7 linked regions of the Callithrix jacchus genome follow. The protein of the gene in region 1 interacts with the protein of each later gene in a pairwise test. Links are inferred from orthologs where the notes say so. Each region holds a gene or a part of one and is shown on either strand. Other genes may lie near its edges. The genes, in order: PNMA1, FBXL18, MAB21L2, METTL17, RUSC1, HOXB9 and ATP5PO.

What was found.
Region 2: the proteins of PNMA1 (region 1) and FBXL18 interact in a two-hybrid assay, tested with the Homo sapiens proteins (2 studies listed by BioGRID). The two-hybrid records come from large-scale screens. The link is inferred for Callithrix jacchus from reciprocal best matches to the Homo sapiens genes PNMA1 and FBXL18.
Region 3: the proteins of PNMA1 (region 1) and MAB21L2 interact in binary tests that used the Homo sapiens proteins (3 or more experiments, as listed by UniProt). The two-hybrid records come from large-scale screens. The link is inferred for Callithrix jacchus from reciprocal best matches to the Homo sapiens genes PNMA1 and MAB21L2.
Region 4: the proteins of PNMA1 (region 1) and METTL17 interact in binary tests that used the Homo sapiens proteins (3 or more experiments, as listed by UniProt). The link is inferred for Callithrix jacchus from reciprocal best matches to the Homo sapiens genes PNMA1 and METTL17.
Region 5: the proteins of PNMA1 (region 1) and RUSC1 interact in binary tests that used the Homo sapiens proteins (3 or more experiments, as listed by UniProt). The two-hybrid records come from large-scale screens. The link is inferred for Callithrix jacchus from reciprocal best matches to the Homo sapiens genes PNMA1 and RUSC1.
Region 6: the proteins of PNMA1 (region 1) and HOXB9 interact in binary tests that used the Homo sapiens proteins (3 or more experiments, as listed by UniProt). The two-hybrid records come from large-scale screens. The link is inferred for Callithrix jacchus from reciprocal best matches to the Homo sapiens genes PNMA1 and HOXB9.
Region 7: the proteins of PNMA1 (region 1) and ATP5PO interact in binary tests that used the Homo sapiens proteins (3 or more experiments, as listed by UniProt). The two-hybrid records come from large-scale screens. The link is inferred for Callithrix jacchus from reciprocal best matches to the Homo sapiens genes PNMA1 and ATP5PO.

What each region holds. Positions count from the first base shown.
Region 1 is NC_133509.1:108,629,448-108,633,475, reverse strand, and holds PNMA1 (paraneoplastic antigen Ma1), read left to right. Parts: upstream 1-1,228; 5' UTR 1,229-1,947; coding exon 1,948-3,009; 3' UTR 3,010-3,779; downstream 3,780-4,028.
Region 2 is NC_133503.1:17,013,213-17,017,220, forward strand, and holds the start of FBXL18 (F-box/LRR-repeat protein 18), read left to right. Parts: upstream 1-1,208; 5' UTR 1,209-1,333; coding exon 1,334-1,351; intron 1,352-4,008. UniProt on the Homo sapiens protein: Substrate-recognition component of the SCF (SKP1-CUL1-F-box protein)-type E3 ubiquitin ligase complex.
Region 3 is NC_133504.1:46,207,836-46,211,923, reverse strand, and holds MAB21L2 (protein mab-21-like 2), read left to right. Parts: upstream 1-1,288; 5' UTR 1,289-2,372; coding exon 2,373-3,452; 3' UTR 3,453-4,032; downstream 4,033-4,088. UniProt on the Homo sapiens protein: Required for several aspects of embryonic development including normal development of the eye.
Region 4 is NC_133509.1:55,498,020-55,502,000, reverse strand, and holds the start of METTL17 (ribosome assembly protein METTL17, mitochondrial), read right to left. Parts: upstream 2,801-3,981; 5' UTR 2,795-2,800; coding exon 2,720-2,794; intron 2,568-2,719; coding exon 2,414-2,567; intron 2,334-2,413; coding exon 2,199-2,333; intron 994-2,198; coding exon 912-993; intron 566-911; coding exon 484-565; intron 1-483. UniProt on the Homo sapiens protein: Mitochondrial ribosome (mitoribosome) assembly factor. Binds at the interface of the head and body domains of the mitochondrial small ribosomal subunit (mt-SSU), occluding the mRNA channel and preventing compaction of the head domain towards the body.
Region 5 is NC_133519.1:15,748,569-15,752,717, forward strand, and holds the start of RUSC1 (AP-4 complex accessory subunit RUSC1), read left to right. Parts: upstream 1-1,349; intron 1,350-1,351; coding exon of another isoform or gene 1,352-1,871; exon of another isoform or gene 1,872-1,950; 5' UTR 1,951-2,077; coding exon 2,078-3,440; intron 3,441-3,706; coding exon 3,707-4,117; exon of another isoform or gene 4,118-4,149. Other genes in the region: FDPS (farnesyl pyrophosphate synthase), read left to right, coding at 79-213, 708-908. UniProt on the Homo sapiens protein: Associates with the adapter-like complex 4 (AP-4) and may therefore play a role in vesicular trafficking of proteins at the trans-Golgi network. Signaling adapter which plays a role in neuronal differentiation.
Region 6 is NC_133506.1:117,650,603-117,654,671, forward strand, and holds the start of HOXB9 (homeobox protein Hox-B9), read left to right. Parts: upstream 1-1,269; 5' UTR 1,270-1,589; coding exon 1,590-2,106; intron 2,107-4,069. UniProt on the Homo sapiens protein: Sequence-specific transcription factor which is part of a developmental regulatory system that provides cells with specific positional identities on the anterior-posterior axis.
Region 7 is NC_133522.1:39,988,583-39,992,737, forward strand, and holds the start of ATP5PO (ATP synthase peripheral stalk subunit OSCP, mitochondrial), read right to left. Parts: upstream 2,801-4,155; 5' UTR 2,778-2,800; coding exon 2,742-2,777; intron 1,546-2,741; coding exon 1,495-1,545; intron 1-1,494. UniProt on the Homo sapiens protein: Subunit OSCP, of the mitochondrial membrane ATP synthase complex (F(1)F(0) ATP synthase or Complex V) that produces ATP from ADP in the presence of a proton gradient across the membrane which is generated by electron transport complexes of the respiratory chain.

The sequences.
Region 1 (4,028 bases):
TAAAACAATTGTGTCCTCCCCACATTTTGCTATGTTAATATTTGCCTCTAACAATTTGCAGCTGTTTCACTTTTTCCTCATTTGTCTCTAAGTTGAAGGCCTTGTTGGAAGGGACAGCACAGGAACAGCCTTGACAGTCTGTAATTATTGTACAAATATTTTAATAGCATATAAATAAGTATATTCCTTTTATTTTGAAACAAATGATCAGACACTGCCTTTTTTGTGTTTGCTGCCTGTGGCACCCTTTTTTAAAAAGACTGTTACATATTAAAATAGTGTACATATATATATAAATATTACCTCTTTTGCTGTACAGTTGTGATAGAGACTGAAGATTTTATTTTTTGTGTGCTTTTTATAAGAAAAAAATTAATACACTAAAGAATCTTGCTGATGTGATTGTAATGTACCTATGTAACTTATTTACTTTTGAATGTTCTTCTGTATCTTTAAACCTTTTATTAAATAAGGTTTTAAAAATTCAGAGTTGCATGCTGTGTTCTCTGGGATTTTCACCATCTGGGATTGATGTAAGTGGGTCTTGTCTTGCTTGCACAAAGATTACTCAACATTTTCGAACCATACGGATTCTCTTTTAGCAGCCTATTGTCAATGATGCCAGCCAGGAAAAGGGAAATAACATATTAATGTTTACCTGGCTAAAAGATGACTGAGTAGACATAGACAAACATCTTTTTTACAAAATTTTAGACAAGAAAAAGGCAACTCCGTATCTTACAAAAATATACGTAAATGGCACACGCCGACATTTTGGCTGCGTTGGGATGAAATATGCAGGGTGCAGAGTGTGGTTGGGGGAACAGGGAAGCTACGGTTCTGAGGATATTCTCACGTGCAGGGTGGACTGGCTGAGCAATCTGAGATGAGTCCACCATGAGGGATGCATTTCCAACAATATCATCTTAAGTCCACTCCAGGATTGGGTTATTTTTAAAATACGGTGCTTAGCAGTCTTTGTTCTCTGTTTAAAAAAAAAAAAAGAAGAAGAAAATTACGCCATCAGAGAAACAGGTGCCCGGGGCACCATGGTAACCGCTGGACTCCGCCCCACCCCCACTCCCCCGCCCGCGGTGGGCCGCCAGAGCAGACGAGTCTCGTGCAGGCTGAGAAGCCGTTGCCATGGCGACACCCGAGCGGCTCCGCCGCGGGGGCGTGACGGAGTGGGGCAGACGCCGCTCACGGGCTGGCCCCACCCTTCACTGCTGCAGTAACATCGCCGCAGGTTGCGGGTAGGACACTACGTCTGGGTAGCAGCGCAGTGCAGATCGTTGCGGCCGCCGCTGCTCATCCTCTCTTCTGCTGTCTCCAGCCCAGCTTCGCCAGCTCTCCTGCTCCTCTGTTGCCTTCGTTTCTGGTCCTCGGCGGTCCTCGCCACCCTCCCGGAAGAGTCCCTGCTCCTGCCAAGAAGCCGCTCTCAGCTGGCCCGCAGCCGCCGCGACTTCGGCACAGTCTGCCTGTGCCGGGTCTCCCAAACGACCTCTCCTCGCCCTCGGAAGACCGGGCTGCGACCGCGAACGCCAGATCCTCTCTGGGAGCCGCCGCGAGCGCCCGACGACCACACCTCGGCGGTTCTCGGCCCATCGCGCCTGCCTTCGCCGCCCGCCTTCGCTCCTTGCCCGCTCCACGACGACGCGACGCCTCGGCTGCTGGCAGCGGACCCGGACCCGGACCCGGACCCAGACGCAAGATGGCGACGGCTGCGTGACTGCCTCAGCGTTTCCGAGCTCGTCTCCAAGTGCGTCCACTGACTGACTGTGGGGGCAGGGAAGGGCGAGGTCAGGACTCTGTGTCTTTGTTAATCGTGACTGCGTGAAACTCGCCTCCCTTGGGCCTACTTGGGGGGAGTGTCTGGCGTTGTTCTAAGGCCAGGAGCAAGGTGAGCCACTGTCTGTTGGTAGAATTAGCGTCTTGATAGTTGACAAAATGGCGATGATACTGTTGGAAGACTGGTGCAGGGGAATGGATGTGAACTCCCAGAGAGCTCTGTTGGTCTGGGGCATCCCAGTGAACTGTGATGAGGCTGAAATCGAAGAGACCCTCCAGGCTGCGATGCCCCAGGTGCCCTACCGAGTGCTTGGGAGAATGTTCTGGAGGGAAGAAAATGCGAAAGCAGCCTTATTAGAGCTCACTGGCGCTGTCGATTACGCCACGATCCCCAGGGAGTTGCCGGGCAAAGGAGGAGTCTGGAAAGTGTTCTTTAAGCCCCCGACTTCCGATGCTGAATTTTTAGAAAGATTGCACCTCTTCCTAGCTAGAGAGGGCTGGACCGTGCAGGATGTTGCCCGTGTCCTTGGGTTTCAGAACCCTACTCCGACCCCGGTCCCAGAGATGCCAGCAGAGATGCTAAACTATATTTTGGATAATGTTATTCAACCTCTTGTTGAGTCCATATGGTACAAGAAGCTGACACTTTTCTCGGGGAGGGACATCCCAGGGCCTGGAGAGGAAACCTTTGATCCTTGGCTGGAGCACACTAATGAGGTCCTAGAGGAGTGGCAGGTGCCAGATGCAGAAAAGAGGCGGCGGTTGATGGAGAGTCTTAGAGGCCCCGCCGCTGATGTCATTCGCATCCTCAAGACCAACAACCCCGCGATAACTACTGCCGAATGCCTGCAGGCGCTTGAGCAGGTGTTTGGGAGCGTTGAGAGCTCTAGGGATGCCCAGGTCAAATTTCTGAACACTTACCAGAACCCGGGAGAAAAGTTGTCTGCTTATGTCATTCGTTTGGAGCCTCTGCTACAGAAGGTGGTGGAGAAGGGGGCCATTGATAAAGATAATGTGAACCAGGCTCGTCTAGAGCAGGTCATTGCCGGGGCCAACCAAAGCGGGGCCATCCGAAGGCAGCTGTGGCTTAACGGGGCTGGGGAAGGGCCGGCCCCAAACCTCTTTGAGTTGCTGGTGCAGATCCGTGAGGAGGAAGCCAAGGAAGAGGAGGAGGAGGCTGAGGCCACCCTTCTGCAGTTAGGCCTGGAAGGGCACTTCTGAGTCCCAGGAAAGGCAGCTTTAGTGCAGACCCAGATCACAGCTACTGTCCTTGTCCCTGTGGGGTCTTACAGATGTGTCTGAGTAGTAAAGGCTTAGTCCTGTTACATTTGTTTTTGGAGGGCAGGATTTGTCAGGCCTGAGTATTCATGTAACATTCTAAAATTGTGCACGCAAGCACTGTGAGCTGCTAGCGGATCTTGCTGGCTACAATGCCGTTTACCTGGTTGGACACAGAGCTTAGTGCACGCGGTCATCATGGCCATCATAATCAGTTGTGAAAAACGTGTGAACCTGTGACACTTCTATTCCACGTTGAATGTGAAATTGCATGTTCAGATGTTTACTGCGGGGCCTGGCTCACAGGAAGTGTTCAGTAAAAGTGTGAACTGTTAGATTACTGATATTGTGGATAGTTTTCTGTCTACCATAACTTGTTCCAGATTTTATTAATGGAAGGGAATGTGCATTTATTATGACTCAACCTTACAATGTAAACGTACTATTTCTCATCTTTAAACATGTGGATCAGTTTAATTGAAAAGTATTCTGATACTGCAAAATGGGATGTTAAAAACTGCAGTTACGGAGCTGTGTAACCCATTTTTCACTGCATAAGATACAGATGTAAATTGCATGGAGAGGTTGATGTGCACCTGTTAGAGTAATTCACTTCCCCAATTTCAAATCTTTGTCAGAAAATAGTTCTTGTTCATACTAATTCTGAGTGTTCTAAATTTGAAGTTACATACAGAAATAAAAATGTTTTTCGATTTCTGTTGTCTTCTCCTTTTGCTGGCATGTACAAACATCTTTAGCCTAAGTAAACTCTGTCCATTTTTCTTATGAAGACTGTCATTAACTCAAACCATATGTTTTACTTACCACAGACACTCAGCATGTCTTCACCCACTACCCATCATTCACAGAGCTTTCCCCTCCATTCCCACCAGCATCAGGTGCACACTCACCCACCTCCTACGCTCTACACATTCACTGCCATCTCCCACTCAGTACTCCCA
Region 2 (4,008 bases), on another chromosome or scaffold:
CGATCTTTTGACCTCGTGATCCACCCGCCTCGGCCTCCCAAAGTGCTGGGATTACAGGCTTGAGCCACCGCGCCCGGCCAATTTGTTTTATTTTTAGTAGAGACGGGTTTTTGCCTTGTTGGCCAGGCTGGTCTCGAATTCCTGACTGTGATTTGCCCACTTCGGCCTCCCAAAGTGCTGGGATTACAGGCGTGAATCCCAGGGATTTTTTTTTTTTTTTTTTTTAAAGAGTTTATCTCTGTCTCTGGAGTGCAATGGTGCCATCTTGGCTCACTGCAATCTCTGCCTCCTGGGTTCAAGCGATTCTCCTGCCTCAGCCTCCCGAGCAGCTGGGATTACAAGCGCTTGACATCACATCCAGATAATTTTTGTATTTTTAGTAGAGTCGGGGTATTATTATGTTGGCCAGATGGTCTCGATATCCTGACCTCGTGATCCGCCCACCTTGGTCTCCCAAAGTGCTGGGATTACAGGTGTGAGCCACCTAGCCTGGCCTAATTGTTGTATTTTTAGTAGAGACTGGGTTTCACCATGTTGGCCAGGCTGGTCTTGAACTTCTGACCTCAGATGATCCGCACACCTCGGCCTCCCAAAATGCTAGGATTACAGCGTGAGCTGCGCCCGGCCGGGTCTAATTATTTTGAAATGCAAACGCTTAAGTGTGAGGGCACATACATTCATATTTACTTAGCAAATATGTATTCAGTGTCTATTGCATTCCTGGGATAGTTCCAGGTATTGGGAAATCCTGTCCCTGCTTACAATTTATTAGTTTATTAGGGGGAGGACCAAAAATAAAAAAAGATACCGTCGTCAGATGGTGCAAAAAGCTACAGAGAAACACAGACGATGAGGCAAGTGCCGGGGCGTGTGTGAAAATGGAGAAGAGGCGACGCTATTCCAGACGGGGTGCTCAGAGAGGGTCTGACCTGTGGCTTTTGCATATGGCAGGGAGTGGGAAAGGCAAATGCAAAAGCCTGGAGGGGGCCGTGCTGGGCCGGCAGCGGGAGGCCGGGTGGCTGGAAAGGAGCGTGCAGAGGGCAGAGTGGTCTAAGAACGAGCTCAGAGAAAAGGCGGGGGTCCCTAGAGCCCTTCCTGGCACCCCTGCGTTCCAGCAGCTCCCCGGGCGGAGCCACATCTAACATGGCGGCCACCTGGGGCCCATCTGCGGGCGAGCGGAAGTGCGTGAGGCGGGCGCCGGAAGTGACGGGACCCGGTCTTGCCGGGGTCTCGGTTGAGCTGCGGACGCGCCGGCTTGCAGCATCCCTAGCCGGGCAGGTGGGAGGCCTCGGAGTTGCGGCTCCCGAGGCCGCTGCTCGGCCCCGCCAGCGACATGGCCAGCTCCGGAGAGGTACTGTCCGCGCCTCTCTCCGCACTGCTTCTACCTCGGTGGCCTCGGTCTCCCTGGGTTCATCCCTCCCGACCTGGGTTTCCTTGCATCCTTTCCATCCCGACCCCTACCCGTCCCGTCCTTCCCATCCGGACCCTGGCCCTTGCTCCTGCTCCCGCATCCTGTCCCCCAGACGCCTGCCCTGCCTCGGAAGGCACAAGCTGTCTTTCCCTTCGCTCGTCTTTCCTGATCGGCAGAGTTGCCCCCGCCTCTCCGTCCCCTGAGTGTCCAGGCTCCTCCGAGACCCCTTCCCCAGTGCCCCCGTTCCTTGGCTGGTCCCCTACAGCCCTGGGACATACCCCTCCGTGCCCACGTCCCACTTCATCTTCTATCTCTGGATGCTCAGTTTCAGCCCAGCCCACTTCTCCGTGGAGCTTGCCTGCTGAATGACGTGGGGGGGTGGGTGATGGACGAAAAGCCATTTCACCTGGGGTACTTACGGCGTACCCTGGAATTCTTTCCCAACACTCCACAAATCTGGGTCCGATGGAGAAGCTCGCTGCGTCCCTGTAATGTGGTGAAAAGTATTGTCTCTGTAGACAGGGGTGTAGTAGGTACTCTAGACTGATTAGTGGCTTCCCGTTGATGCTTCCTGCCTATCTGTATGGGCACCTGGGTTGGTATCTGTCATCTTTCAGGACTCAGACCGTTGGGTGCACTTCGCAGATTTAGGAGCTTGCCTGGGTTCTAGGGAGCAGGAGTGAGAGATTCAACTGTCTTCCTCAAAGTGATGGAGCAGGGGTCTGTGGAAATGGCTGGGGGTCGCTGTGCTGACTGCCCCTCTTAATTTGAAGTGGTCTTGGCCTAGAAATGACCCCAGTGGCTTCTTGATTGACAAGGAACGGTGTGTGGCCCAACTGCAGATTGATGATAAGATTGAAATGCAAGTTCCAGCTCCAGAGGAGGAGTTCTGGGGTAGCATGGCTGTGTGAGCAGATTCCAGTTAGTTGTGTGTGCTTGGGGTCAGGGAAGAAAGGGGGTCCTGGTACTTTGATCTTACAGAGTTCCAGCTCAAAGGCCCCTCTTTTTTTTTTTGAGATGGGGTCTCACTCTATTCCCCAGGCTAGAGTGCAATGGCTGGATCTTAGCTCACTGCAACGTCTGCCTCATGAGTTCCAGCGATTCTCCTGGCTCCGCCTCCCAAGTAGCTGGGATTACAGGAGCCGACCACCACTCCCAGTAATTTTTTGTATATATATATATATTTTTTGAGGCAGAGTCTCGCACTGTTGCCTGGGCTGGAGTGCATGGTGCAATCTTGGCTCACTGCACTTTCCACCTCCTGGGTTCAAGCGATTCTCCTGCCTCAGCCTCCTGAGTAGCTGGTGGTGCCTGCCACCATGCCTGGCTAATTTTTTTGTATCTTTAGTAGAGATGGGATTTCACTCTGTTGGCCAGGCTGGTCTCCAACTCCTGACCTCATGATCCACCCACCTCAACCTCCCAAAGTGCTAGGACTGCAGGCATTAGCCATTGCACCCTGCCAATGTTTTGTATTTTTAGCAGAGATGGGCTTTCACTATGTTGGCCAGGCTGGTCTTGAACTCCTGACCTCAGGTGATCTGCCTGCCTTGGCCTTCCAAAGTGCTGGGATTACAGGTGTGAGCTACTGTGCCCCAGCCAGGCTCTGCTTTTTTTTTTTTTTTAATAGCACTTCACATGGTTCAGTACTTGTTTTTCTCAGGTATTAAAAATGCTCCCAGCAGGGCATGGTGGCTCACGCCTGTAACCCCAGCACTTTGGGAGGCCAAGGTAGACTGATTGCTTGAGTCCAGGAATTTGAGACCAGTGTGGGCAACATGGAAACCCTGTCTCTACAAAAAAAAAAAACATGAAAATTAGCTGAGGGTGGTGGCTCATGCCTATAATCCCAGCACTTTGGGAGGCTGAGGCTGGTGAATCACCAGGTCAGGAGATTGAGACCATCCTGGCGAACATGGTAAAACCCCGTCTCTACTAAAAAATCAAAAAATTAAAATAAAAAATTAGGTGGTCATGGTGGCAGACACATGTAGTCCCAGCTACTCAGGAGGCTGAGGCAGAAGAATTGCTTGAACCTGGGAGGCAGAGATTGCAGTGAGCCTAAGTCATGCCACTGCACTCCAGCATAGCAACAGAGCAAGACTCTGTCTCAAAACAAAACAAGATCCCATTTCTACAAAAATTACAAAATTAGCCTGGTGTAGGGACCTGCACCTGTAGTTCCATCTACTTGGGAGGCTGAGGCAGGAAGATCACTTGAGCCCAGGAGGCCGTGGCTGCAATGAGCTATGATTGTACTGCATTCCTGCTTGGGAGATAGAGTGAAACCCTGTCTCAAACAAAAAAGTTAAATAAAAAATGCTCCTTGTTCTGAAGGCATTCCTGGAGTAGTGGGGAAACCATTACAGCTCGTCCGACGAGGCTGGGAGTGGAGGCCTGGTCAGCTGTGGGGGGCGGTGAGTTAAGTTTGCCTGGAGAGTACTGCAAGGGCTTCCCTGAGAAAGGAGCTTTTGAGCTGAAGCATGAGAGTGTCGCAGTTTCCCTTGCTGGGTGGCATGTCTGGTCAAGGGGACAGCTTGTGCATAGGCTGGTGGTATCAGTGCTGTGTCTCAGGAGACAGCTTAGGAAACGCCAGG
Region 3 (4,088 bases), on another chromosome or scaffold:
GCTTTTTTTTCACCCAAAAGTACAGAAAGGCTACAGTGGGTACAGCTTGTTAAGGATAATCCATATACTTAAGGCACATGCATGCCTTTCATTGAAATGCCCAGGGAGGAGTGAAGCCATCTGTGTAATCAATAACAGGATACTTACAGATTTTTGTGGCAGTGAAGTCTTTTAAAAGCAAGAGCCAATTATGAAAATAAAATCATTTTACAAATGAAACTCTATTTGTACCCCCTAAGAATACATTCATAATTAGATTTCTAACAGTAACATTTTAAGAAAACTTTAGGTTTACATTTACTTCCCTTGTTTTTCATTAAGTTTGAAACAATTTTAGTAGCTTATTTTAAAAGTATATCCTACTAAGTTCTACATATAAATTTGCACCGTTTCTCACAACTTAGACATTTTCTCTTTCGAAACTGGTTAATTCTTGTAACGATAAAATAATGGTATTAAATATATGTGAATCTTAATTATGAAACAATTATCAAACAAGGTGCTTGGAGTCGTTTTTGCCCTGCCCTGTTTTACGACAGCATATCGAAATTACTAAAAAGAGATTTATGTTCATAAACCCTCACCTTATATCCACTCCAAAGCCCCACTGGTGCACATATACAGCAACTGCTCTGGTTCTTGGCAACAATGGGAGGGGAGGGGAAGAAAGGGAGGAAGACTTTAAAGGAGGAAGAGACCTGGAAAAATTAGGTCCTTTTCCAGATTCCCCTTTCTCCTCCCATTTGCCTTCAAGCCAAAGTAATTTTGTTACACTTTGCACCTTCTCCTGCCCAATGTTGATAGAATCATTAAAATTAAAGAAGTGAACCTTTCTGAACCACTGCTACTCTCCCTCGTGTTATTCCAGCCATCTCCAGGAGAGTCCCTTCTATATAAACTCCTTTTCTTCTTTGCTACTGATAAGAGAGGAGGATAAAGAAGAAGGGCTGTAAAATGTGTGCAAGCATTTGATTTCCATTATCTCCTCCTATTTTCTTACTTCTCTCTTTACCCCCTTTCTTTATCAAGTGCAGTGGTGGCTGCTACCGCTCGCCAAGCGTGCCTGTCTTCTCTCTCGGATTGGCTAAAGCACTGACAGCTCGGATAGCGATTGTTGGAGCTGAAGCTCCACCCCCTCATGATGGCCCTGGGACCATTCATAAACTAAATAACTCCAAGAAACAGCGAGGGAAGAAGAAAGAGAAAGGGAGAAAGAGAGAGACAGAGACAGAGACAGAGACAGAGACAGAGAGAGAGAGAGAGAGAGAGAGAGAGAGAGAGAAGAAGAAGAAGAAGAAGGAGGAGGAGGAGGAGGAGGAGGAGGAGAGAGAGGAGCAGCACGAGGGGGAGGGGGAGGGGGAGAGAAGCAGGGGGAGACGGGGGCGAGAAAGAGGTCGGAGAGGAGAGGCGGGAGAGAGACGACTCAGAAAGTGGAATCTGTACAAGCAACCTAGAAGAGGAGAAGGAAACCCTTGAATCGTTATAACTACACCCCAGATGCAACGCAAGCAACGACTTCGTCACACTAAAACGGATTTTGTGAGGGCCAAAATTATAAATTACGAAGCAGAAATGATTACCAAACAACTTCCAGCGGTTTGCACCTAAAGAAATGTAAGAAGAATCCACTACAAACAAACCAACCCCGTCCAAACAACGCCTCCAGTAGGAAAAGAGGAAAACTGCGACAACACGACCCCCCGAGAAGAGAGGAGACCAACACGCTGAGACTGCGGGGTGTCAGCAAACCTCCAAGTGCACGGCGGACAGAGTTGCACTTCGCAGCTCTCTGGACATTAATTACCTCCTGCACCTTCCGTTTGCGGGAGGGTGAGGAAGAAGGTACTCACCTACACTGAGCGAAGAAGTCCTACCAGCGTGGAAGAGAAGTTTAAGAATGAACCACTGAATGTTTCGCTTTTATATTTAAATTTATGTTGGCACTTAAAAAACTTCATTTCCAGGTTTCTAGGCAATCTCGGCTACAGACATCTAAGCCTAACCTTTTGGTATCCTGAGGTTTTTTTCTGTCTCCTTCTTCCTCACCCCCACCCCGCTGCTCTCGCACAAGGTCATCTTTACATTATCAAGAGAAAGTTAAAAGGTCCCAGGAGGTACTTTTCTTTTTAGAAAATCACCTTTTTTCCCCCTAATTTTTTTGCAGAAGAAAAAAGCTTTTGAAAGAGGGAAAAGGAAAAAAGCCGGCAGCCGTATCAGCCGGTCAGCCCAGGTGAAAAACGAGAGTGAAAGTGGGGTTTAACGGGGAGCGCACCGCCTCTTTCGAAAGCCGCTGGGCCACCACCAGTGCCTGAGCCTTGGATCCCTCAACGTATTGCGAGACGCCGGTGTATAGCCCGGACCTGTGCCCCAACATGATCGCCGCTCAGGCCAAGCTGGTTTACCAGCTCAATAAATACTACACTGAGCGCTGCCAGGCGCGCAAGGCGGCCATCGCCAAAACCATCCGAGAGGTCTGTAAGGTGGTCTCGGACGTGCTCAAGGAAGTGGAGGTGCAGGAGCCTCGCTTCATCAGCTCCTTGAGCGAGATCGATGCCCGCTACGAAGGGCTTGAGGTCATCTCGCCCACCGAATTTGAGGTGGTGCTCTACCTAAACCAGATGGGCGTCTTCAACTTCGTGGACGACGGCTCGCTGCCCGGTTGCGCGGTGCTCAAACTGAGCGATGGCCGGAAGAGGAGCATGTCTCTCTGGGTCGAGTTTATCACGGCGTCGGGCTATCTCTCAGCGCGTAAGATCCGCTCACGTTTCCAGACGCTGGTGGCTCAGGCGGTGGACAAGTGCAGCTATCGGGATGTGGTCAAGATGATCGCGGACACCAGCGAGGTCAAGTTGCGCATCAGGGAGCGCTACGTGGTGCAAATCACACCGGCGTTCAAGTGCACCGGGATCTGGCCTCGAAGCGCGGCACAGTGGCCTATGCCCCACATCCCCTGGCCTGGCCCCAATCGGGTGGCCGAGGTCAAGGCCGAAGGGTTCAACTTGCTCTCGAAGGAGTGCTACTCGCTGACCGGCAAGCAGAGCTCGGCGGAGAGCGACGCCTGGGTGCTACAGTTCGGGGAGGCGGAGAACCGCCTGCTGATGGGCGGCTGCCGAAACAAGTGCCTCTCGGTGCTGAAAACTCTGCGGGACCGCCACCTGGAGCTGCCCGGCCAGCCGCTCAATAACTACCACATGAAGACGCTGCTGCTGTACGAGTGCGAGAAACACCCGCGAGAAACGGACTGGGACGAATCGTGCCTGGGCGACCGGCTCAACGGCATCCTGCTGCAGCTCATCTCCTGCCTGCAGTGCCGCCGCTGCCCTCACTACTTTCTGCCCAACCTCGACCTCTTTCAGGGCAAGCCCCATTCGGCCCTGGAGAGCGCTGCCAAGCAGACCTGGAGGTTGGCCAGGGAAATTCTCACCAATCCCAAAAGCCTGGACAAACTATAGGGTGCTGGGGACTGCTTGAAAAGCGACACAAAAGGGCGTGCTCTCTCAGACACACAACACACAACTCAGCGATAAACAGCAGAAACTCTGGACACAAACTTTTATGTAAGTCACATGAAATAAACAGGAACCAGGCAGAAGACCTTCGTTAATTAAGAAGCAAACAAAAAGAGAGCAACCCAACCAAAACAAATCACATTCTTGCACAAAAGTGATCGTTTTCTTCCAAACAATGTGAATTTAAAAGGTCACACAAAAGAAGCAATCGGGCTGTGCCACCACAAAATGAAACTCAAGGTACACTTTCAAATCAATGTATAGTAGTTTCTCCCTTTTCCTTCTTTCCCCCATCCTTTTTCTCTCCACCTCCCCCTCCCATTTCGTTTTCTTTTTGGTTGCCTGAATGTTGTCACCAAGTGAAAAAATTATTTAACTATATGTAAAATTTCTCTTTTAAAAAAAGTTTTACTGATGTTAAACGTGTCTCAGTGCCAATGTCAGATTGTGCCCCTCCCTCTCCTGCACCTCTACCCTCACCCTGAGCCGCCTTGTTGAAAACAGTAATAAAAACATTACATTGTAATTGACTGTTTGTGGATTGTTCTTAAATGAAGGCAGGTGAGATCACAGTTTATA
Region 4 (3,981 bases), about 53 Mb from region 1:
TTAGGACCTTGGTAAATATGAATTAGGAGCTATCACAGAGGATATGAGATGTAAATGCTTTTTCAATTTAAATATAATTCAATATAAATGATTCAATATAAATATCTTATGGAATAAGAATCTCCTAAAATAGTGATTCAAACCTTTCTTGGGTCACAGAATGCTTTCATAGGATAAAGAGAATGTCTTTATTTTGTATTTTTTTTAAGAGATGAGGTCTCACTCTGTCACCAGGCTGGAGTACAGTGGAGATCACAGCTCACTGCAGCCTCAAACTGGGCTCAAGAAATCCTTCTGCCTCAGCCTCTCAAATAGCTGGAACTACAGTCAGGAGCCCACCATGCCCAGTGAAGATCCTCTTTAATAAAAAAAAAAAAAAAAAATGCATATGCAACGTCCCAAGAATTCCCATCCCAGAAAACTACTTTATGAATAGGGAACTGACGGTCAAAAAGTTCAGGTTGGAAGTTAAGGGACTTTTACCTCATGGAATGCTCTGGAGACTGCTGCAAAGCCACCATCCAGTCTTGCTGCCATATACACCAGGCTCAGTCCCTCACTGTAGCTGCCATTAAAATCAGAGAGTCATACAAACTAGTAAATAATCTTAATCCCATAGTTACCTTCTAGATTTAGAAAATGACATCCTGGAAAGGGCTCTTCCAGCTCTGGTCTTTCACTCCCCAATACAGAAGGGTCCTGGGGAGCCTTACAAATACTAAATTTTCAAACTTTAATGTTCAAAACTTTGAACTTTAGCTTTTTCAAATACTAAATTGATCCTTTTAAGGTCAGGTGATTAAAAAAAAATACTACATTGATTGTGTAATTGTATTCCCTCTCTTTCAAAGTTCACCTCTCTTTCAAAGTTCACCTTTTCCTTCTTGTGCACCTTTTCCAGTCCCCCTTACCTCAGTTCTTGCCAATGGTAGGTAGTTTTACGTAGTGCATGAAGCACTGCTTCACGAAGTTTCTCCTCTGTCTGAAATAAGTCTGTGGTGAGAACAAGGACTGGAAGTCAGGACCTAGGGAGAACAGGGTTCAGATCTAATATTTGAATATACTGCCCACCCAGTCTTCTCTGACTCCCACCTAAGAAAACCTTCAAGCTCAAGAGAGAAGACAAACCTAGAGAAAAGCTTCAGGTAAGAACAGTAGCAACTACCACTAACAGAATGTATCAGATGGCATTTTGCTTCTAAGAATGGTTTATTTAACTTAACCAATTCTGTCCCACAGGTTTGTTTTATATTAAAGGAAACTGTGATAAAAAATTTAAAGGGTAGGACAAGGACATTAGTTTTTGGATTTCCTCACTTCTCCAAAATTTATGGTTTTGATGATCTCCACTATTCCTATGGAGAAGAAAGGAGACTGAAAATCTAGGTCTCATGACTGTGTTCAGTTCAGTACTATTTAGCAAGTATCTACCAATCACCTACTGTGACCCAGGTACTGTGAGGTGTGCAAGGAATGTAAGATGAATAAATGGCAGGTCTGTAGTGTCAAGGAGCTCACAATCATGAAACTAATTGATGAATTATATGTATTCTCTTATCCCGAAAGAAGGTTTCAGTACTGGGCAGGGGCCATCCAAGGGCTTTATTTCACCTGAATAGAAACTTAGAAGGTCCTAATCCAGTGGACTTGCAGGAAAAAAACAAATATCTAGATTTTAACAGTATATTGGCTGGGCGTGGTAGTTCACGCCTGTAATCCCAGCACTTTGGGAGGCCGAGGTAGGCAGATCACCTGGGGTCAGGAGTTCAAGACCAGCCTGGCCACCATAAAGAAACCGTCTCCACTAAAAATACAAAATGTAGCCGGGTGTGTGCGGTGGTGCACACTTGTAATCCCAGCTACTGAAGAGGCTGAGGCAGGAGAATCACTTAAACCCAGGAGAAGGAGGCTGCAGTGACCTGAGATTGAGTCATTGCACTTCAGCCTGGAAACAGAGCAATACTCTGTCTCAAAGCAAAAACAAAAACCAAACCAAACCAAACCCAGTATACTGGGACACTCTCTAGCAATCTCTAGAATAATCTACCTCCTTTTAGTAAGGAATCGTTGTAACAACTGCTGCTGTGGTCAGAAAGTCAAATAGGGACTTCAGTATCTGTTTGAGAGACTATTTCTTGCTTTTCATTTCTCACTGGTATTTCAATCTGGCCTACTTTTAAATTATTCTTAAGTCCTACCTGGGTTTTCCAGGAATTTTTTCTCAAGATGCACAGCCCGTCTTTGCAACTCCTCTGGCTCTACAGGCAAATGTCTGCTCCAGAGATAATTGGTCAGTGCTTGCACCTGATTCTCCATATTGGGCTCAGCGATCTCTATGGGCCAAAGATGAAAAGCGGAATCACTTGCATGCAGGTCCAGTCCCGTTTCTTCTCCCTTTCCCGCCGTTACTCACCACGTAGCAGTAACTGGGCACCGTTAGACAGTGCCTGTGGCAGCCGCACGTGCGGTAGTTTCCGGATGCCAGGGTGTTGGCGATGGGGCCTCTTCTGCAGGAAATCGGACTTGTTATCTACCTGGGTCACTCCAGGTACTACGGCGGCGAGAGCCTGCAAGCGGATAAAGAAAGGCTGATTGCTTGGCAGAAAGGCAAGCCGCGGGCGCTCGCTAGGGCAGGGACTGCCAGGAGCGCTCCTCCTCCGCGCCGAGATGTCTCTGGAGATCCAGAGTTTCTCCGAGAGCAGGGAATGCAGCCACTCACCCGGGTCTGGGGAACTACTCCAAGGCCGGGACACAATCTTCCTAATGTCAGTCGATACCTCAGAGGCCCCGCCATGGTTCCGGAGGCGAGCCGGAAACGGAAGTGTAAATGCCCGTGACCTTCAGTCCCAACGCCGCAAGGAGCAGCCTTCGCAGAACTTCTCCCGGCAGTTTCAGCCAACGAGAAGAGCGAGTGTTTGCCAGCAGCCAATAAGCAATGGCTATGTAAATATTCTTGAGGCGGAAACCATGTTTGGGCTAACTTGGAGGCTGGGTTGGGCTTTGTCGCCAGCGCCAAAAGTTAAGAGGATGGGGCGGGACGGGGGCGGGATGGAGTTGGGTTGCGAGCAAAGACTGGCAAAGATTGTTTCTCGGAGTAGACTTCTGTGTTTTGCTCTCCTCCGCGGATAACTGAGTCTTAGGTTGTTTTCCCTGTGTGGAAAAAGGGAGAATGCAGTAATGGAAAGAAGAAAAGAGGAAAATCAGATTTCGGCGACTGAAGATAACAGATATTAATAGTTAAATAATTATTGAATAGTTAATAGTTTGATAAATATTAAACCTAGTTAATAGGTTTATTATTTTTTAAATATTTGTTATTTTCTCTTCAAATTAGACCAGTCTTCTTAGTAATAACATAACACTGAGAACACCTATGTGCCAGGTACTTCAGGGAAAGGGATTGATCCCCATTTCACAGAAAACATGGTTCTGAGTGGAATATCCTGCGCCTGCTACTAGATCAGACTGTTTCTTTCTGTCCCAGGACTTCTACAGATGCCCTCTTGACTACCTGAGGTGCAGAATCCCAGGTGGGTTCAGCCACTATTGTGACGTGATAATGTAACATAGGGGAATGGTCTCCAGGGTCTGCAAGCCCATCAACACCTTCATTCACCGGAGCATCAGAAGGATAAGTGGCGCCGGGCGCGGTAGCTCACGCCTATAATCCCAGCACTTTGGGAGGCCGAGGCGGGTGGATCACGAGGTCAGGAGATCAAGACCATCCTGGTCAACAAGGTGAAACCCCGTCTCTACTAAAAATACAAAAATTAGCTGGGCATGGTGGTGCGCACCTGTAGTCCCAGCTAAAACCCAGAAGGTGGAGGTTGCGGTGAGCCGAGATCGTGCCATTGCACTCCAGTCTGGGTAACAACAGCGAAACTCCGTCTCAAAAAAAAAAAAAAAAAAAAAAAAAAAAGAAGGATAAATGGCATATGTAAGGCCATACCTACTTTCTGAGCCTGGCAGTGGACAACTGCT
Region 5 (4,149 bases), on another chromosome or scaffold:
AGGGAACAGGCACCAGCTTCACTCCTCTGCCTGGGGGCCTCATCTGTTTCCTCCTTTTCTGCTCCTCCCCCCACCCAGGATGATTACCTTGACCTCTTTGGGGACCCCAGTGTGACTGGCAAAGTTGGCACTGACATCCAGGACAACAAATGCAGCTGGCTCGTGGTCCAGTGTCTGCAACGGTCCACTCCGGAACAGCGCCAGATCCTGAAGGTGCTTGAGAGCGGGCGGGTGGTGGGTCCCTGAGCTGGTGAGAAAGGGCCAGAGCAGTGGTTCCCAACTGGAGGCAGTTTTGTCCGAGGGGACATTTGGCAATGTCAGCAGACGTTTTTTGTCATCGTCATCACAACTCCGTGTGTGGTACAGGCATCTAGTTGGCAGGAGCCAAAGATGTCGCCAAACATGTAACACACAGAACAGCTCCCCAGACAGGATTATCTGGTCCCAAATTTCAATTGTGCCAAGGTTGAAAAACCCTGGAGTAGAGGATGCTGGGGTCTGAGCCAATATGTGGGGAATATTTGGGATGGTGAAGGGAAGCTTGTGATCTTAGCTATCTAGAGACACTTGAAAATTGGAGGCAAGAAGGGAGTGGGTGGCTTTGGAGATGTTCTGGAATATGTGAATGAAGGGAATTGGTTGGGGGTGAGTGTCCTGGAGGCTCTGGGGAAGGCCAAGCCCAGCTTCCTGTCTCCAATCCCTTCCAGGAAAATTACGGGCAGAAGGAGGCTGAGAAGGTGGCCAGAGTGAAGGCATTATATGAGGAGCTGGATCTGCCGGCTGTGTTCTCGAAGTATGAGGAAGACAGTTACAACCACATTATGGCTCTGATTGAACAGTACGCAGCGCCCCTGCCCCCAGCTATCTTTCTGGGGCTTGCGCGCAAAATCTACAAGCGGAAAAAGTGACCTAGAGACTGCAAGGGCGGAGAGGAGGCTCTCAATAAATAAATTATTGTGTAATCTTGTGTTCTGTTAATGCTTGGCCCAGCCGGAGTCTGGTTCTCTGAATGCTCGGGGTGGGCTGCTGGGAGGACTCGGTGCACGGAAGCAGAACCCAGGGGCCTTGGCATCCGCGCCCCTTGGGGTCAAAAGCTTGGGATATAGCCAACCCTCTGGGCGAGTGAAACCAGACGCTAAGCGCTAGGGGCGGGGCTGAGCTACGCCACGCCCATGCGCGAAGGGGTGCAGCTGCGCGGCGAAGAGTGGGTTGTCCTAGTGCCCCTCCCCTCCTGCTCTGTTCCCCGCCGGGCGGGGACCGTGGGAGCCGCGGACAAGCCCAAGGCCGGAGCGGTTCCAGGAGGACCCTGGTGAGGAGGGCTCGGCCCATGGGTGTAGACCGATAGACCAGGGCACGCTGGGCGGGGCTGGACAAATGAATAGAGAAAGGGTGCGGTGGTGGCTGAATGATGGAGACGAATGCGGAGAGAATGATGGACACACGGCTGTTCCAAGGGGCGAGGGCGCAGGCTGGAGCCCAGCCGAGGCAGCCGGAGGATGCGGAGTTGAGAAGCTGACGGCTGCTGCATCCTTTTCTCCTCCAGCCGCCACCCCTTTTCTGCATTTACCAGGCAAACTCTGCGTATTGCCCCACCCCCATCCCCTGCCTCCTTTCAGGGCATCTGGGTGGGTCTTCTTGGGTCCCTTAATCTAGGAGTAAGGGGTAGGCTGGAGGGCAGGGTCAGATTGCGGCAGCAGGGACCCAGCAGTCCATTCAGGGCCCCGACCTCTTCCAGGCCCCCGCCCCCCTTCGGAGATCCAGAGCGCAGCCGCGTTCTCTGACCCTCCCCGCTCCATTCCCGGGGGGTTACATTCGACTCCACCTGCAAACACTGCAGTGGAAACTAATGGCCAGTCGATTGCGATTTGCATCTCATTGAAATATCTTCCAAAGCAGTCAGAGCCTTCAGGCCTGCTGCTGCCGCCGGTCACCTCGGTGTCCTTCCGGCAGCTCGTCCTCAGTGGCTGGGCTTCGCCACCCCTGTCTTCTAGGTCTACACCTGTGGTTGCCAGGTAGGTGGATGTGAGAGACCCAATCCTCCTGGTTCTCTAGAGGCCATCCCATCGCCGCCGGCACAATGCTGTCCCCTCAGAGAGCTCTACTCTGCAACCTCAACCACATCCACCTCCAGCACGTCTCCCTGGGCCTGCACTTGTCCCGCCGTCCTGAGCTACGGGAGGGGCCCTTGAGCACACCCCCTCTCCCAGGAGACACTGGGGGCAAGGAGAGCAGGGGTCCCTGCAGTGGCACCTTGGTGGACGCCAATTCCAACAGCCCAGCTGTGCCCTGCCGGTGCTGCCAAGAGAACGGTCCAGGCCTAGAAAACCGGCAAGACCCGTCACAGGAGGAAGAGGGGGCTGCCTCTCCCTCAGACCCAGGCTGCTCCTCCTCGCTCAGCTCCTGCTCAGATCTTAGCCCAGATGAGTCCCCTGTCTCTGTCTACTTGCGGGACCTCCCTGGTGATGAGGATGCCCACCCTCAGCCCAGTATCATCCCCCTGGAGCAGGGCTCCCCACTGGCTTCAGCAGGCCCTGGCACCTGCTCACCGGACAGCTTCTGCTGCTCTCCTGATTCCTGCTCCGGATCTGCTTCTTCACCCGACCCTGGCCTGGATTCGAACTGCAATGCCCTGACCACCTGCCAGGACCTCCCTTCCCCAGGCTTGGAGGAAGAAGACGAGAGCGCGGAGCAGGATCTCCCTACCTCGGAGCTCTTAGAGGTGGATGATGGAAAAATCGACGCTGGGAAAACGGAGCCCAGTTGGAAGATTAACCCCATTTGGAAAATTGACACAGAGAAAACTAAAGCTGACTGTAAAATCACTGAAAACAATAACACTGGTTGGAAAAACAACGGGAATGTTAACTCTAGCTGGAAAAGTGAACCTGAAAAAATCGACTCTGGTTGGAAAAACAACACAATAACTGATTCTGGCTCGAAAACAGATGCAGGGAAAATTGATGGAGGATGGAGAAGTGACGTCAGCGAGGAGCCGGTGCCCCACCGGACAATCACGTCCTTCCACGAGCTGGCCCAGAAGCGCAAGCGGGGCCCAGGGCTGCCCCTCGTCCCGCAGGCCAAGAAAGATCGCAGTGACTGGCTCATAGTCTTCTCGCCCGACACTGAGCTGCCCCCGTCGGGGTCGCTGGGCGGCTCCTCTGGACCTCCTCGGGAAGTCACCACCTTCAAGGAACTCCGGTCCCGAAGCCGAGCCCCACCCCCGCCAGTCCCGCCTCGAGACCCCCCAGCTGGCTGGGCTTTGGTCCCGCCCCGGCCCCCACCCCCACCTGTCCCTCCCCGAAGAAAGAAGAACCGACCAGGACTGCAGCCCATAGCGGAAGGGCAGTCCGAGGAGAGCCGGGCTGTCAGCCCCGCGGCTGGTGAGGAGGCCCCAGCCGCGAAGGAGCAGAAGGAGCCGGGCGCGCAGGCCGGCCTGGAGGGTAAGAGGTTGTCAGAAGCGGGAGGAGGGCTGGGCTTCGGCCGCTCACGCCTCCTAGCCTTCCAACCCCGCCCCCTGTCTTCCCTCCATTCTGTGTCTCCCATCCTCCCCGGCCCTTCTACCAGGGAGCGCTCCGGGAAAGGGAAACTGGTCATTGGGTTACGGGACTAACTCTTTGCTCCCTCTTTTTCCCGCCCCTCCTTGCCTGGCTGCCCATCCCGCTGCCCTCCTTCCCTCTGCGCCTGGCCCCGCCAATCCTGCCTGCAGCCGGTCCCCTCCTGCTCCCTCGGCCCCTGGTTTTCCGGTTCTCGGCCGACGGGCGCCCCCTGTTGGAGGGTGGGGGCGCGGGCGCAGCTGGGTCTCTGCTCCTGGCGCCTCTGGCCGGGTGGCCCGGCGCCGGGCTGCGGCTGCTGGGGGCGCCGACCCCCCCAGAGGAACAGCTGCTGCCGGTCCGCCTGTCCCCAGTGGGAGCCTATTCGCCTCCGACTCGGGGAGCCTTGCCCTGCCTGGCCAGCCCCGAGCTGGCACTGCTGCTGTCCCCGCTCTTTCCCAGAAGTAGCACCTTCCCCGCCGCGGCTCCCCCACCCCGCCAGGTACCCGCCCCCCCGCTGCCACCGCAACCTCGTCCGCCGAAGGCCCCTCGCTGGACCAGGAGCCCATCGCCTCAGCCCAGGCTACGTAAGACGGACCCGGGCAAGCCCCGCGGGCCA
Region 6 (4,069 bases), on another chromosome or scaffold:
AGGCGACTGCACCTAGGGCCGAAGGTGAGAAGCAAAGAAAGGCTGGGAGAGGAGCCAGGAAGCCAGTCGGTGGGCCGGGAAGAGTCCCCGTGCAGGGCCACAGAGTACATATATTTAAAAAAGGCTACTTGGTAGCTTCAATGAGGGGGTCTGCGGGGAGTAAGGTAGTGAGGAGCAGAGACTGACCCTGGGCTTGCTGTTCACACTGGCCCCTATATCGGTGTTTGGAAATCTCCAGAGCAGGAGCCCCGAGTGAGAGGAGCAGGATAGGAGGGCTGAAAACTCAGCCCAGGCTCCTTTCTCTCTGGACAGAAGGGGAGATGACATGGGACCCCTTCACTTGTTGGTTGAGGATCCCAGGCCTCTGCTCTGGTGACACCTCAGGGAAGTGCCCTTAACCCTTTCTCTTGTTCAGCTCCCTCATCTGGGCAATTTTAGGGGCCTGGATGATTATTCAGTGGAGAAAAGGAGAAATGGTTGCCCCCCCCCCCCCGCCCGCCCCACCTCAAATGCATCCTTCTGGCCAGAGTCAGAGAAAGGCCCAATAAATGTAAAAGCGCTCTGATTCCTTGTATTAAACTCTTTCCTAGGCTCTCGTTTCCAGAGCCTGATGGATCCCTTTAACCTCAGGCAGGTTCTAATTTCAGGACAAACAGTGGATTCTTGGACATTCAGCCGTTTTATTCCCCTCTGCCCTCCACCCTCCGCTACTGAGGGGTCCAGGGAGGTTCCCAGTCTTGTAAATCTCTATAAAGAGTGCACCGAAAGCCCCCTTCAAAGCGGACAACGTCCTAAAATCCCCAACTTCTCCCCTCATCCTTTTACTTCATCTCCTGTGGATTGCTGCTGCTGTTATTTAATAAACATCTTCTGTCAAGGGGACAGAGAAGAGGAAATGAGGGCCTGCAGGGTGGAGGTGGAGGTGTGTGTGTGGGGGGGACAGGACCACCTCATCTCTCAGTATCCTCTCGGGTCTTTCTGGCTGCTCCCCGGGCTGGGCTCTCTCCCTCCCTCCGCCCTTGCTCTCCCTCCCTCCCCGACCCGCCTAGGGAGAGGGCTCTACAGCCTGCGTCCCTCCCGAGGCAGCCAGCCTCTTCCCTCCGCCTCTCCTCCGCCCCCGCCGCCCCACGTCGAGAACTGCCCCCCTTCCTGCAGCGGGAAGAGTGGGGGGGGCGAGGGGGGGGACCGGGCGGCCGGCAGCTCCGGCTGAGGTTACGTGGCCGCCGGAGCCCTGACGTGATAGCACATTGCATCAGCATAAAACAATCCATCCTCGATATGGAATGCGGTGCGGACGGATGACAGCGAGAGCGCAGCCCCCTCGCCGGATTGATTTATGTCGGAGCTGACGCTTTATCAGGCAGTCGGAAAAACTTTGACCAATCATTTTGCTAGGAGCGCTGAGCCGGGCTGCTCCACTGTACTTTGTTGGCTGAGAAGTTGAGCAGGGGGTGGGGGTGGGAGGGTGGGGGGCTGGGGGGGTCGCGTCCGAAAGCCCTCACACCGGTCCGGGTGCCACCTCTCCCTGCTTGGGCGCCGCCGCGCGAGCGCTTCCCTTCCCCCTGTGAGCGCCCGGATAATGTCTGAGAATGTCCATTTCTGGGACGCTTAGCAGCTATTATGTCGACTCGATCATAAGTCACGAGAGTGAGGACGCGCCTCCAGCCAAGTTTCCTTCTGGCCAGTACGCGAGCCCACGGCAGCCGGGCCACGCGGAGCACCTGGAGTTCCCCTCGTGCAGCTTCCAGCCCAAAGCGCCGGTGTTCGGCGCCTCCTGGGCGCCGCTGAGCCCGCACGCGTCTGGGAGCCTGCCGTCCGTCTACCACCCCTACATCCAGCCCCAGGGCGTCCCGCCGGCGGAGAGCAGGTACCTCCGCACCTGGCTGGAGCCGGCGCCGCGCGGGGAAGCGGCCCCCGGGCAGGGCCAGGCGGCGGTGAAGGCGGAGCCGCTGCTGGGCGCGCCTGGGGAGCTGCTCAAACAGGGCACGCCCGAGTACAGTTTGGAAACTTCGGCGGGCAGGGAGGCCGTGCTGTCTAATCAAAGACCCGGCTACGGGGACAATAAAATTTGCGAAGGAAGCGAGGACAAAGAGAGGCCGGATCAAAGTAAGTTATAAAAAGTGAGGAAATACCGAGGCCGAAGGCCAGGAGGGGGCGGGGAGGGGAAAGGCAATAAACAGCGGACAATGTGAAGGGAAGCTGCGGCGGTGGTCGGAGAGCGAGCCGGGAGGAGGGGAGAGTAGCGAAAGACGGAGGGAAGGGGAAAGCTGCGTGCTCTAGAAGGGGAGACTGAGGCCGCCAGAGGAGCATCCCCCCTACTTCTCCAAGTCCTGAGGGGAACAGGGACTCGGGATCGACTTGCAGCTCTTTCGGCCTCCTGTCCCCCCTCTCTCCCGGAGGCCCGAAAGAAAGCCCGGCCAGAGACTGGCTACGGCGGGGAGAGGAGCTGGTGGGGCCCGGGGCCTGCGGCCAGCGAGGCCGGGAGCCGGCGAGGCCAAGGGCCGGAGCGCACTGGGCTGCCTGGGGCCGTGCGGCTGGCAGAGCTCCCCGCGCCACGCGCAGACCGTAAAAGCCGGCCAAGGGGAAGGGGGAGGGGGCTCATTAGGATTTTATTTGCGATGCAACAGCTTGACGGAGGATTGTTCCTAGCAGATCTCGCGCTGTAGCCGCGGAGTCCGCTGCCTGCGTCGGGAGGGGCGGGGGAAGCCCAGGACACGGTGACTGAGCCCCCTCCCCGATGCGCCGGCCCCTCCCCGGGAGCCTTCCCTCCGGTGGCCCCTCTCCTCCTCGGCGTCCTCGTCGGGGCTGCAGCTTCCTTTTCTGCTGTCCCCGCTGCTCTCCGCGGGGCTCCGTAGCCCCAGCCCGGGTTGTCAGCCTTTCCGGGAGTCTGCAGTCGGAAAATCGCTTCTGAATATCGGGGCGTCCCAAAGGGACCCCGGGGATAGGAGGGGTTGGGGGGAAGAGAGGGTTGCGGAGAGGCGGAGAACTTTACCCTTTGTGGGTAGTTTCCCATCACCTCCCACTCCTCAAAAGCACCCCAGCCGGAAAGCCAAGTCTGGCTGATTTCCAGGAGGTGCTACTAGGTGAGAAGCCAGGGTTCTCCTATTATTTATTTTTAAGGTTGAGAAGGGCACATCGGTGAGGGAACTCTCAGCCCCAAACAATGACTCGCAGGCTGGTGGATCCGGTCCTCGTCCCTCACTCTTTTTGAGAAGTAGGGATTTTCTAGTTTCTCCTTGTCCTGCTAAATTTCCCATTGACTGAGTGGCCCCAGGGCCCTTTAGAGCATCTTTGCCTGCTGGAGAGTAAAGAGCTGCCCCATTCCCTGCAGGGTCCTGTCACTTCCAACCTTCCAGGTGGAATCCTAAGAGCTGGCATTTGGGGAACACATTCTTCCCCAACCCTCCCCACACTCCCAAACAGACACTCCCCCACCCCAAACCCCCAGTCTCTTCCTGAAAAGCCCATTATTGCAAGGCAGCCATTTGGCTAGGATCAATTATTAACAGTTTTTCCCTCTTTCATATTTAATGCGGCTGTGGGTCCCATCCCAGGCAATCACGTTAAGGAAATAGTGCTGCAAATTGGTAAGACACGGTTACTTAGTGTAGGAGGAACCACATTTTTTATATAAAAAACCCACCGTTTTTCATTTGGGGACAAGGAAGCTAGTAGCTGGTGGCTGCTATTTTTAATTGGCTTAGCTTTATTTGGCAACTTTTTTGAGTTCCAGAGTGGGGGGAGAGAGGGTTAGAAGAGAGGCCTGTATATATTTTTGTTTCCTCTCTTCCACTCAGTTACCATCTTCTCCCCTTCACCCTCTCCCCGACATAGGACCAATTAAGGCTAGGTGTGCTTCCTGTTACCTCCACATCACCCCTGGCTCCCCACCTTGGGACTGGAGCAATTTTTCTCCCCAATTTCCCTGAACTTGTGTTAACCAAACTGTGAGCTAAGGATGAGCTGAAAATGAGAGAGACTATTGCAGCCATAAGTTATCTGTGAACCCCCGGCACTCCCCTGTCCATAGGCTGGAATTGATAAATGGTTGCAATTGCATTGCGTGTGA
Region 7 (4,155 bases), on another chromosome or scaffold:
AAAAAAACCTGATGCTTGAATTATTTTTCACAATAAACTGTAGATTTTTTTCTACCACTGATGTATGACTACATGTTCTTAGTGGTGCTGTATGGTTGTAGCGGAAAAGCTCAGGCTTGGATGAGGAAGATTTAGTTCCAGTCCAGCTTTAAGACTAAGCTGAGTAACCCCAGGTATATTCTCCCAGGGCCTCAGTTTCTCCTTTTGTAAAGTGGGAAGACCAGTTACTCCCTAACACTGTTATGACATTTTAAGCCTTCATATGAAGGATAAAATGATTTTGATCATTTGATTTGAGAGATTTGGGGCTGGTAATGATGGGACATAATAATTATTTTCCTAAATTCCACCTGATGTGGGTTCATTAAGAACACAGATCTCATAATCTTTTTCCAAGGGGAGGATTGGCTCACTGTTGATTTGGTGGGGGAAAAGTGTGAGTAGGCTAGATGGCCCAGCACATCTTTGAGAAGTTCCTACTCCCTGACAGTTGAATCAATTCTCTATCACACAGGAACTGTCTTTAATCAAATAAAGAAATTTCAAAATAACCCACAGAAACGGAGTCAGACATCATGTTCCAGCTGCTACCAGCTGTTAGCCATGTGTCATTTATGGAGGCCTCCTGGGGAACTTCATTTATTATGTGTCACTAATAGTCTTCTTTATCTGGGGGCAACTGGACTACCGGTTTGAAAAGAAGGGGACTGGCAACTCTCAGAAATAGTGACCCTCCTTGGTGCTTAGTGGAGAGAAAGGGTGTAAAGGGTATGAACAGTCCTTACCAGAATGGAACATGGAGATGTGCAACAGAATTACATTAGAAACCAAGGTACCTTGATTTTTTTTTTTTAGATGGAGTCTCACACTGTTGCCTGGGCTGGAGTGCAGTGGTGTGATTTTGGCTCACTGAACCTCTGCCTCCTGGGTTCAAGCAATTATCCTGCCTCCCAAGTAGCTGGGATTATAAGTGCCTGCTACCATGCCTAATTAATTTTTTGCATTTTTGGTAGAGACGGGGTTTCACCTTGTCAGTCAGGCTGGTCTTGATCTCCTGACCTCATGATTTGCCTGCCTTGGCCTCCCAAAGTGTTGGGATTACAGGAGTGAGCCAGCGCACCCAGTCTGGTATCTCGATTTTAGTATCAACTCCAACAATAATTTTCTGTGATAACTTGGGCATGCCACTTTGTTAAACCTGTTTCTTTCATTAAAAGAATAAGTAAATGCTAGCTTGCCTATTTTAGAGGGAGAATGGAAAAACAAATGATTAAAAACCAAGTTCTCATATTTAAAGATTACACATAGGCTTGTCACAAAGCAAGTACTCAACATCACTCCTTTCTCCACCCTGCACATACCTCACATTCTGGGAACCGAGATGTGCAAAAAGGTTTAGATAGTAACTACCCAAAATCCACGCCCTGACTGTACTGCTGTTTGGCTCACACCTGCACGTGCTTTATAATTACAGAAGAACAGAAATTAACATACCCTCACAAGCTTGGCAAATGGTCTGACCACAGATGTACCGAAGTATCGCACCTTCAAAGCAATAAAGCAAAGTAGATCAAACAAGATTACTTGGAGGGTTTCTGCATTTAACTCAGTAACAACAAAACAATTTTTTAAATGACCTTAAAATCATTAGTTTTGTCTCTTTGTATCACCACATATTACATTTAGCTACTTTTTATTACTAAGGAGTAAACTTACCCAGTGAGGATTATCTCAAGTTGCTTGGGAAATCACCTTCCCACTAACATCCTACTTTGCTAGGAATGGGCCGAGACTAGCACACCTGTATGACAGAGAAACACTAACTTCCAAGAGTGCATGTTTCTAAAATATTTAACGAAAATTTTGGCGTTTCTATTACAACACCCTTAGGCAGATAATTTGCAAACAGATGTACCTTCCTCGAAATCCAAATGCTATCTGAAAATAAAGATAAATTTTTTGAGTACTGCCGCAGTTTTAACCGGCAAGAGGCCCTAGATCTGAGAGAAGGTCTCCCGCTCATCAGAAGACAGAGATGGAATCCACAGTTTAAAAATCACCTGCAAGTGCACAGGTCACAGATCACAGGTCACCTTCAAATACTTCTAGCTATGGAATGTGTTTTGTCAAAACTGCTTGTGAGGAAGAAAAGACTTTTTAACGCTTACGTAAAAATTGCCTCAGATGCAAGGAAGGGGTCATGATACGTAAAGCACCAAGAGGAGATGCAGTACAAAGAGCATAACATTTTTTCAAACTTCATCTTCTGGGTGACTCCGTGGGTTCAAATCGCAACTCCACCACTTACTGGCTGAGCAGCCAAAGACTCATTTAAACTTTTCCGCCTTATTTTCTTTACAAAACTGTGAAATGTGTTTTACGAATGTTCCTTGGCATTACTAGCGATCTCTGACAAGTTTTACCACAATGGCAAAGAAAGCTGATTTAGGGGATAGGCCGTGCCCCTTCCCAGGAATCCAGCGAAGCGCAGACCCTCTCTGCGGCGCCTCTCAGGCGAGCAGTTCCCAAGGCTGTGCTCGAAGGACGCCAAGGTCGTGACACGCGCAGCCCCGCAAGCATCTGGGGGACAAACACTGGGTCGCCCTGAGTCGCCGGGCCCCGCAACCTTGAAGACTGCCAGACTTCCCCAGCCTAAGCATCGCACCCTCGCGCTCTGGGTCTGGTACCGGTCACCCCCGGAGGGATCCTCCCCTTGGCTCTCGGGACCACCTTTCTCTCACCTGCTGGGAGACCCCGGACACTGCTGGGGCAGCCATCTTCTCCCGGGCGGCTGTAGGTCAAACCAGAGTGAGAAGCGAGTGGTGCACAAGGGCGCAGGCGCACGTTAGCGTAATCGCTAGGTTCTCTGGGAAGTGTAGGTCGTAGGGCGTCAGGCGGCATGCGCAGAGACCTCCCTCCGGCTGGGAGTTGTAGTTCTTAGCAGTGGTAAGGGCTGGACGCTGGGGGTGGAGCCAGAGGGCTTCGACTGCACCTGAAAATGAAATCCTTCTTACTGGCTAAGCGGCCCTCGCTGTAGAATGGATTTGCTATCCCCAGTTTTAAAATTTACGTTTAGGTAAATATGGTGGCATTTGTTCAGTTTCACAGTTATTACCAGCGTCACTGGCTTCTTTACACTTCCTTCATAACATGCTAAAGCCTGCATCAATGGCTTTTTCTCATGTTGCATACAAAGACAAAACCAAACAAAAACAAAAAGTGCCCAAGAGCCTTCCCCCTCCAGGAGCAGGTATCACGTCCCTCTTACCTGGGCCATGACTGCCCACTGTTAAATAAAACATTATTCAATGATGGTTGTTGGTAAGGAAGACTTTATTCAGGACCATAGCGATGGATATAGGGCCAGTGCAATTGAGTCTTGGAGTTAGCAGAGAGATTGAGCTCAACTCCTCATAAATTCCCATATCAAGAAGCAGTGGAATGGTCAGTGGATATAAAATTACTAAGAGGAAACAAGTGTAAGGGAGATTCTGGCTAAATCGACCTAAAGGAATCTTGTAGAAGACGGGCCAGGGTGATCACACATCACCTGGGGGATGGTGAAAGATGAGGACCCTGATCAGATATCAAGGATGATCAGTTATCAGGAATTGGGGGTTCTGGCTAAACTGACTTAGCAGTTTTGGTAAAACTGGATTTTTACAAGGAGGTGCATGCATAGATAGGCCTACGAGAAGGTTCAGAATGTTAAATATAGTGAACCCCAAGTTTCTCTTCAAATAATCAGTGTGTCAGTGTGTTCAGCTCTCTTATTCTTTAATTCTCCATTTTAAAGTTTGACTCCCTTGTAGTTTCAGTAAACAAACATTTCCACCAGTTCTAATCACTAGTTCACATCTGTTCCCCCCGTCCCCTGCTCGTCCTGACTCATTCCGGTCACCTACTCTGGTCACCTGCTTTGACCTCTGGTTACTTAGTCTGATCTGCCTGTAACCGTTCTTCCCACCAAACTACCCACCCTGCCACTCCAGCTTGTACCCCTGCTCCTTTTAAAATAGCCAGTTGGAATTAGACTAGACTGTGTGATCTAACCCTAGACAACAGGGGAATGACACAGCAGCAGTGGTGACCTCCATCAGGAATAAGTACCCCTTCCTCTCCCGTGTCCAGGTGTGTGCTCGCCATTGTTCCATC